Linked DNA regions of Caenorhabditis elegans. The protein of the gene in region 1 purifies or fractionates together with the protein of each later gene. This does not show direct contact. Each region holds a gene or a part of one and is shown in the gene's direction. Other genes may lie near its edges.

Region 1 (3,927 bases):
AATCGCACAATTGTCAGCAAGATTGTAAAAAATGTGTCTAATCAATTAGATACTCTGTTGGAGTTGAGAGTAAGATCACTTAAATTTGTTTTCTGGTAATACACCGAAACTAAAGCTGGCTAATTTCGATGAAAATTATGAGTTCATTAATAACTTTTTTTCTGCTTATCCATTTTTCTGAAAATGTGGGGATTTATGTTATCAACCATGAACTTTCATTGGTCAGTAGTAAAAAAAAACAGTATAAATTATGTTTTAAATCGTTTTTAAAACATTTGGAGGGGGAGCGACGAAACCCATAATATTATTTATACGTAAGTGCCAGTTAGTCTGATTGTTGTGAACTGGGCTCTGCTGTATCGCCCATTTCACAATGTCTCGCTCTCGACTGCTTCAGCAGTTCTCCGAGCGAGGGGTACATTCAATTCGACCTTTTAAGACCAGCTCTTAAGCTTACCATACAGTTAGGAGAAGTTTACTGTATTTCTGCGTCTCTTGCTCCCACACGCTCTCTAACGAGAGTTACACTCGCGCCCCGTAGCAACGATTGGCTGCGCGGCGACTCAATGAGCGACGATACGGAGCGAGCTGCAGCGTCGGTGGCACCAGGAAAGGAACTCTCCTCCCCACTCTTGGTTCGGTTTTGCTGGTCTCTTCCCCCCCCCCCCCCCCCCCCGTTATTGACAGCTCCCAGTCAGACTAATTGCCGACGTTTCCTACCTTTCCCTCCCTTTATTTGGAAAGTGTAGTTGACCAAAGACATTATTCTACGAGTCTGCAAAGACCCCGACTATTCATACACTCGACCTTTTCAGACTAAAGACCCGCGTGGCAGGACGTGATATTCTCACACCAGACAATTCCCTCTCTCTTGTGTACGACCCACTCCCCTCTGTTGATTATCTCCCCTTTGGAGTAATAAACATATTTATTAAAACTGTGTTCTGTTCTTTCCAATACATATACAAATAGACGATGCCATGCTGCACCTCTGACATAGTCTTCGTTGCTCGGTTCCTCTTGAGGCTTAAAGGGTTCGGTCTTCCGCCACTCCGTGGTGCCACAACATGGTGCATCGACCGACTTTCCGACTATTTCCTTGAGAAAACCATGTTTTCCATCGATACAAAGACTAACATTTGATTTCCAGGACATCCAGACGACGTTTACCTGAAAAGCGTGTTCAGTTCACGACTCAGACAAATCCTGTACAATTTCTCAGGAAACAGCTCGAAAGATGAACCTGGGACTCTAGACCGGGGGAACTGAGCGACCCTTTGACTATATTCGGTTATAGTACGATTTCTAGTTAATTGTGCAGTTTACAAAGTTAATATGCCTTTAATCAGATTCACCATACTTGATTTAGTCTATTTTCTCGTCGAAAATCGATTATTTCAACCAAAAACGCTCTTCCTTCTAAAAATTGGCACGGCGCCAAGAAAAAAGGGGGCGGAGTCTTCTACAAAAGTGCGCACGCGGCGCGACCGCGACGCGGCCACGACCTTTAAAAACAAGTTGCATTTACGTGTCTTTTTTTGTTTTTGTTGATCTTCTTCAATTTTAAACATTTTTTCTCACGAGCAACCGCTGTTTTCCAGACAAAGAAGTTCATTTTTCGCTTCTGAGACTGAATTTGATCATTTTTTCTCTCGAATTTTCGTGATTTAAAATTTTCTTCTTCTCAAAATACGAAAATCGTCGTAATTCTTGAATTATTTCGATTTTTTACAGCTCACACCACATCTGCAGCAGCCTACCGTACTCACACGCTTCACACCAACACACTTCACACCACCACGACAAGACACGGCACGGCGAACGGGACATGGCCTAGAAAGTTGCGAAAACTAGTCCCGCGGCTGCAGTGCTTTATTTTTTTTCATGAGGTTGCGGGAGTTTTTCGACGTTTTTTTCGTGTTTTTTGATGTTTTCTCGTCGTTTTTTCTTGTTTTCTTCGTTAAAAATTGAAATAAAAATAATATTTTCAGCGAAAGACCACAAATCGCCGCAAAAATCGACCGCATCATCCGCGAAAAGGCGAAAAACGTCAAAAAGTGAGTTGTTTTTTTTGACATATCTCAAAAACTGTTGGTCCAGATTTTTTTTAAAGAGCCTATGGTATGAAAAAATACATACATGGCGGTTCTGAATTTTAATGATTTAGGTGTATAGCATGGGCCCAACTTGATTATTTTTTTGAATTTAGTGAAAAATCAGCACATTTTTGTATAAAAAATTACTTTCCTCAAGAACTGTTGGTCCAGATTTTTTTTAAACGTCTTAGAATATAGAAAAAATCATGCTGGTTTTTAATTTGAAAGATTCAGGCTTTTAGCATGGGCCCAAGTTTACTGTTTTTGGCATTTCGTGAAAAATCGATAATTCGAACGAAAAATTATTTTTCTCAACAAAAATTGGTCTCAGAATTTTTGAAACCTTTTTTAATTATACACTGAAATATGCTGATTTCAAATTGATAAGTTTTGAATGTTCAGCCGACGGATTTTGCAATTATTTTTTTCGATTTAGTGAATATTCACATTTCTGAACAAAAATTGAATTTTTTCGAAAACTGTTGGTCCAGATTTTTTAAAAAGATCCTAAAATATGAATAAAAGCATGCTGATTCTAAATTCAAAACATTCAGCTCAATATCATGCGCCTAAATTATTGATTTTTTCAAATTTCGTGAAAATCAGTGGAAAATCAGTACATTTCTGAACGAAAAGTATTTTTTTTTCAAAAACTGTTGGTCCAGATTTTTTAAAAAGATCCTAAAATATGAATAAAAGCATGCTGATTCTAAATTCGAAACATTCAGCTCAATATCATGCGCCCAAATTATTGATTTTTTCAAATTTCGTGAAAATCGATATTTAAAAATTGTTTCCCTTATAATATTCATGCAATATTTCCAGATGACAAAAGTATACTTCAAACAAAAAAGAAAAGAAAAATCTTGTGCAGGCCTTCTTTTAGCAAATGCCCAGAGAGCAAGGAACAGTGCTAATGGAGTTTCAAAAGATCAAACTGAAGAGGAAGAACTGAACAATTCGAAAGTGGAGGTTCGTTCAGCTCAATTTTGTCAACTTTAATTAAGTTGGAGTAGTTTGTTCTAACTTCAAAAACGTGATTTTCAGACGTGCAGCTCGTCGCCACAGGCTAATCAGGAAATCAGTTCAGAAGATCGAAACTCCCACCATCCCGACATTGCTTCCAGTAGCTCCGCAACTACATGCAGGTCGTCAAATTGTTTCAATATGGATGAAGGAATTCTGACGAGAGACGTGGAAATGGATTTTAGTGACGAAATTCCGACTTTTTCTCACAATGTAATTTTTTTCAATATTTCAAAACTAATATTATATGATTTTGCTGAGATTCTCCAATCCCGTATTTCCACCGACACCTTTACGAAACTCGTTCAGTACACCGAGGGTTCGAATAATCTCCAATGTTGAGCAAATTCCGCAGATCAAAATGCTCCGACTAACGATCGAACGACTGAAAAATGAAAAAAATGAAATATCAGAAGAAATACAAAAGCGGATTGATGAGTTTGCGGTGTTTTCGGAAGAAATGCAAATAGTCCGCCATGAAAATATCACTATAAGAGCATCTAATTCTTCGCTGCAAATGGAAGTATGCAATATACGAACGATCGTCAGTGGTATAGAAGGTCGATTGGTGAGAAGCTGTGCAGATGTGAAGAAAAGTGGCAAAGCTATGGTTCTGAGTCTACAAAGACACGCCGAAGAAGTTGAAAACCTTAAAAAATCAGCTTTTAAAGTTAATATTTCGAATCTAAGAAGCAAAAGTTGTATCAAAAATCGATTTCGCAAAGCTCTTCACTTGCTTCAACACGAAATCTGCCTCGAGGATGACGTCGGACAATTTATTCGAAAATTCACAAAATTCCTGAAT
Region 2 (3,927 bases), on another chromosome or scaffold:
GAATTCTGACTAAAACCTGAGGTATAGTAGAACCTCAAAATTCAAAAAACGCACTCACTTCGGATGCTGATATCTCCGTGTAATAATTTTTTATGACAAAGTGATCAACTACAAAGTTGTTTATCTTAATATAAAGTACAATTTTGTAGTTAATCGTTTTTTATCAAAAAATTTGTTGGTTGAGATATGAACAGAAAAAGAAGAAGAAAATACAAGCATGAAGGTGCCGAACTTTACACAACTTTATCTCGACCAACAAATTTTTTGATAAAAAACAATCAACTACAAAGTTGTACTTTAGATTAAGATAAACAACTTTGTAGTTGATCACTTTGTCATAAAAAATTTTTCCACGGAGATATCAGCATCCGAAGTGAGTGCGTTTTTTGAGCTTAGGTGTTCTACTAAACCTCAGGTTTTCGTCTGCAATCGTGTGCAGAACATCCAAACTAGAAAAACTACAAACATTGCATTTTTCTGATCAAATTTTGAAAAGTTTTCAAAAAAAATTTTGGAAAATTTTATTAGATAGAGGTAGTCAATGAGCAAAGGTAGTCAATGAGAAGGTAGTCAATGAGTGTTTGCCGGCATAATGTTGTTGAAAATTTAATTCTTAAATTGAAAATTTTCGTACTGTAGTAAAAGAGCTATGTTGGTAAACCGTAGTAAAAGAGATTCCGTAGTAAAAGATCCAATTGTAGTAAAAGATCTAGATGTGGAATTCGTAGTAAAAGAGATTCCGTAGTAAAAGATCCAATTGTAGTAAAAGATCTAGATGTGGAATTCGTAGTAAAAGAGATTCCGTAGTAAAAGAGATCCTGTAGTAAAAGAGATGCGTAGTAAAAGATCAAGTAGTAAAACAGTATTTGCCACAATTTTGGAGCAGCTCAAATGAAATTAAAGACATAATGAATTTATTGAAAACTTTGATGGAGCAACTTTGGGCCAGTAGAAACTATGAATCGAGCACCATTGAAACGTGGACTGAACAATTTTGGAACACTTGCGAATCAATTAAAAAATATGTTTCCTGAACAACTCAACTTATTTCCAAACTCTGTCACTTTTCTTTTTAGTTCATATTGTTGTTTTTATATACATTCCTTTGCCAGCTTTTCAACTTGAATTTTTTCAATTTTCTCTGATCTTTTTTGAGCTACAATTCTGATTTCCATAACAACAAAACTGTTCAGTTCAGAAGATATAGTTCTCAAAAAAAGGCACTTGTGCATCATTTTAAAAGGACCTTTTTAAGAAGTAAAAATGAAAACGTGCGGCATGCACTTGTATTTTTAGGATTAGGAAATTACAATTTCTAACTAAGCCTTAACATTAAAAATGCCCATCAAGTTTAAACAGAAATTTGATTTAATTTTAAAATGAGAGGATATTACACAACTACTACAAAAAATCTACAGGTTTCGATTGAAAATATAAAACTACTCGGTAAGTTCGGAAAGCTCCCATTGAAGCAATAACTCCTCTAAACTTCCAGCTTCATAATGGTGGAAGATCGGTACCGAAATATGGAAAATTAAACGACTCCGAATTTATCCCTGAATTCGAATATCGATGTGAAAACATTTTTTTAAAAATCCCTGATTTTAAACTTCAATTGCGAATTTTTTTGTGCACCCAAAGATTTTTCAAATGCGCGCCAGAGACGTCTCATTGGAGCGAACTGTGTTCGTGTCGATTTACGAGATTAGCCAATCTATTTAAACTTTCTTTCGTGCCGATTTATGTTTTATCAACTAATTTTCTTCATTTTTGTCGGTTTTTATCGGGTTTTTTTTGAAAAATATTTTTTTCGTGCCCAACTAACATAAAACTTTCGAAAATTCGTTTTTTTATGTCAGAACAATGAAACATGTTTGTTTACTTTCCATTTAATTTTGCTATTTTCTGGTAATAATTCCTCTGATATTCAAATTGGGAAGTATAGAAATAAAGTTGTCAATGTACAAACCAAAAAACATTCAAATTAAAAAAAACCGTATTCCTGTTTTTAAAAACTAAAAATGTGAAATTAATTCTTCAAAACTGTTCTAACATTTTACTTTTAGCAAAATCGTAATATTCCACTGTTTTCCTCTCTGAAAAATTTACATATAAACCAAGTTTTTTCAGCACAACAGTGACTCTATCGTTGAAATGCCAATACCAAAATCTGCAAAATCCGATTACACAAAAGAGCAAAAAGACTTGGTTGGAAATATTTGCCAGTGCAAGGATTTCTACAAAATCCTCAACGTTGATAAGAAAGCCAGTCCAGACGAGATTCGTATTGCATTTAGAAAACGAATTCGAGAAGTTCATCCGGACAAATGCAAGCATCCAAGTGCTACTGAAGCATCGAAAGGTGAGCTCAAAAATATCTGAAATTGAACAACTTTCTTGTAATGACTGAAAATATAAATGAAAAAAAAAAACTTCCATCAATTTCTTAATTAAGTGTTTAAAAATCTTAATCCGAATTCAAAATTTCAGTTGTCAATAATGCATTTTCACTTCTTATGGATCCGGCCAAGCGAAGACAGTATGATCTACAAAACGCTGAAACATCAAATGAGAATCTTTATAAGCGTTGTAATCGTAATAAAAATCAACGAAAACAGGAATATTCAAATACTCAAAGACAAAACCACAAGAAATCTGAGCCAAGTAATGGAAAAAGAAATGAGCAAAATTCATCATTCAAACAGGACCACAACAGTAAGAACCATCAATCCAATCACCAAAAGACTAAAAATAAGAAATCAAATCCATATTCAAATCAGAATAATTTTAATAATACAAGAAAGGATTATCGTGAAGAGAAAAGTGGATTTAGTTGGAATACAGGAAGTGCTGATGATTACGAGGATTTTGTTTATAGAAATTATCAGTCTTATCAGCAACAACAACAAAATCAGTACGCAAGGCGACGACATGAAGAATATACAGGTATGATGATTTTTATATTTTTAGTAGTATTTTTCGTTCAAGTCGAAATGTGGAATGTGAATTTATTCATTATTTTGCTGAATCCTTTTTTTCCCGATCTTCATGAACAAATGTATTTTCAGATGGATTCAAATATTCGTCAAGTTCAAATCCACACTCTACCAGCAATGAGCCTTTTCACGATAAATCTCATAATTCCGATGTTGAGAAAGAGGAGTATCTTGTTGTTATCTTTTTCATTGTAGTGACGATTGTTCTATTTGGATTAATTGTACATGGAATGTGAGTTTTTCAATATTCCTTATCCAAAAAAAAATGAAAATTTTCTTTTTCAGGTACACCGGAAGCCTTTTGCGAACTGTTTTCAACCTTGTCATAACATATTTGAGAATCATAGCTGGAATTTTTGGAGTATTTTGTTGGATCTCATGGAAAATATTCCAATTGATCGTGAACCTTTCCTGGAAAAGTGTTACAAGGATAGCAATTCCTGTTGTTTTAAAAACGATTTCAATTACTGCTGAAGTAGTTTCGAGCTGTTTTGGTTTCTTGTGGAGCTTTTCGAAAGGAGTGCCATGTTGGATTTGGAGCTTTTTGACAACGTTTTAATCATCAGCAGCTCAATATTAGAGTCGGGTTTTATCAAATCACTCAAAAATGTTTTTTTTTCTGAATTAATTTTGTATTTGTTTTTGTTGGATTTCCAGTTTACAAGAATTGTTATCGCTTGTATTTAATATTATAATAAAAATTTTAGAAATTTTTGAAGTCTTTTTAACGTATCAAAATACAAAATATAATGTTTTTAAAGTAAATAAAAACTTAGAAGAAAGTTGCTGATTAAGGGAGAACGGGTTATAAATAAATCTCCCAATAAAAAATACGGTCATATAAATGCCTGAATTTCAGTTTTTTTGATTGAACTCGAAGCTTCTGGCACCTAGAACAATTTTGTAATTAAATTCTGAAAGCTCTCAAAAT

What was found.
Region 2: the proteins of Y48G1BM.6 (region 1) and dnj-26 fractionate together in Caenorhabditis elegans (co-fractionation; one large-scale study listed by BioGRID). This does not show direct contact.

What each region holds. Positions count from the first base shown.
Region 1 is NC_003279.8:235,661-239,587, reverse strand, and holds the start of Y48G1BM.6 (uncharacterized protein), read left to right. Parts: upstream 1-1,989; 5' UTR 1,990-2,057; intron 2,058-2,921; coding exon 2,922-3,068; intron 3,069-3,143; coding exon 3,144-3,335; exon of another isoform or gene 3,336-3,927.
Region 2 is NC_003282.8:12,250,876-12,254,802, reverse strand, and holds dnj-26 (J domain-containing protein), read left to right. Parts: upstream 1-2,123; 5' UTR 2,124-2,154; coding exon 2,155-2,362; intron 2,363-2,490; coding exon 2,491-2,946; intron 2,947-3,068; coding exon 3,069-3,228; intron 3,229-3,281; coding exon 3,282-3,555; 3' UTR 3,556-3,710; downstream 3,711-3,927.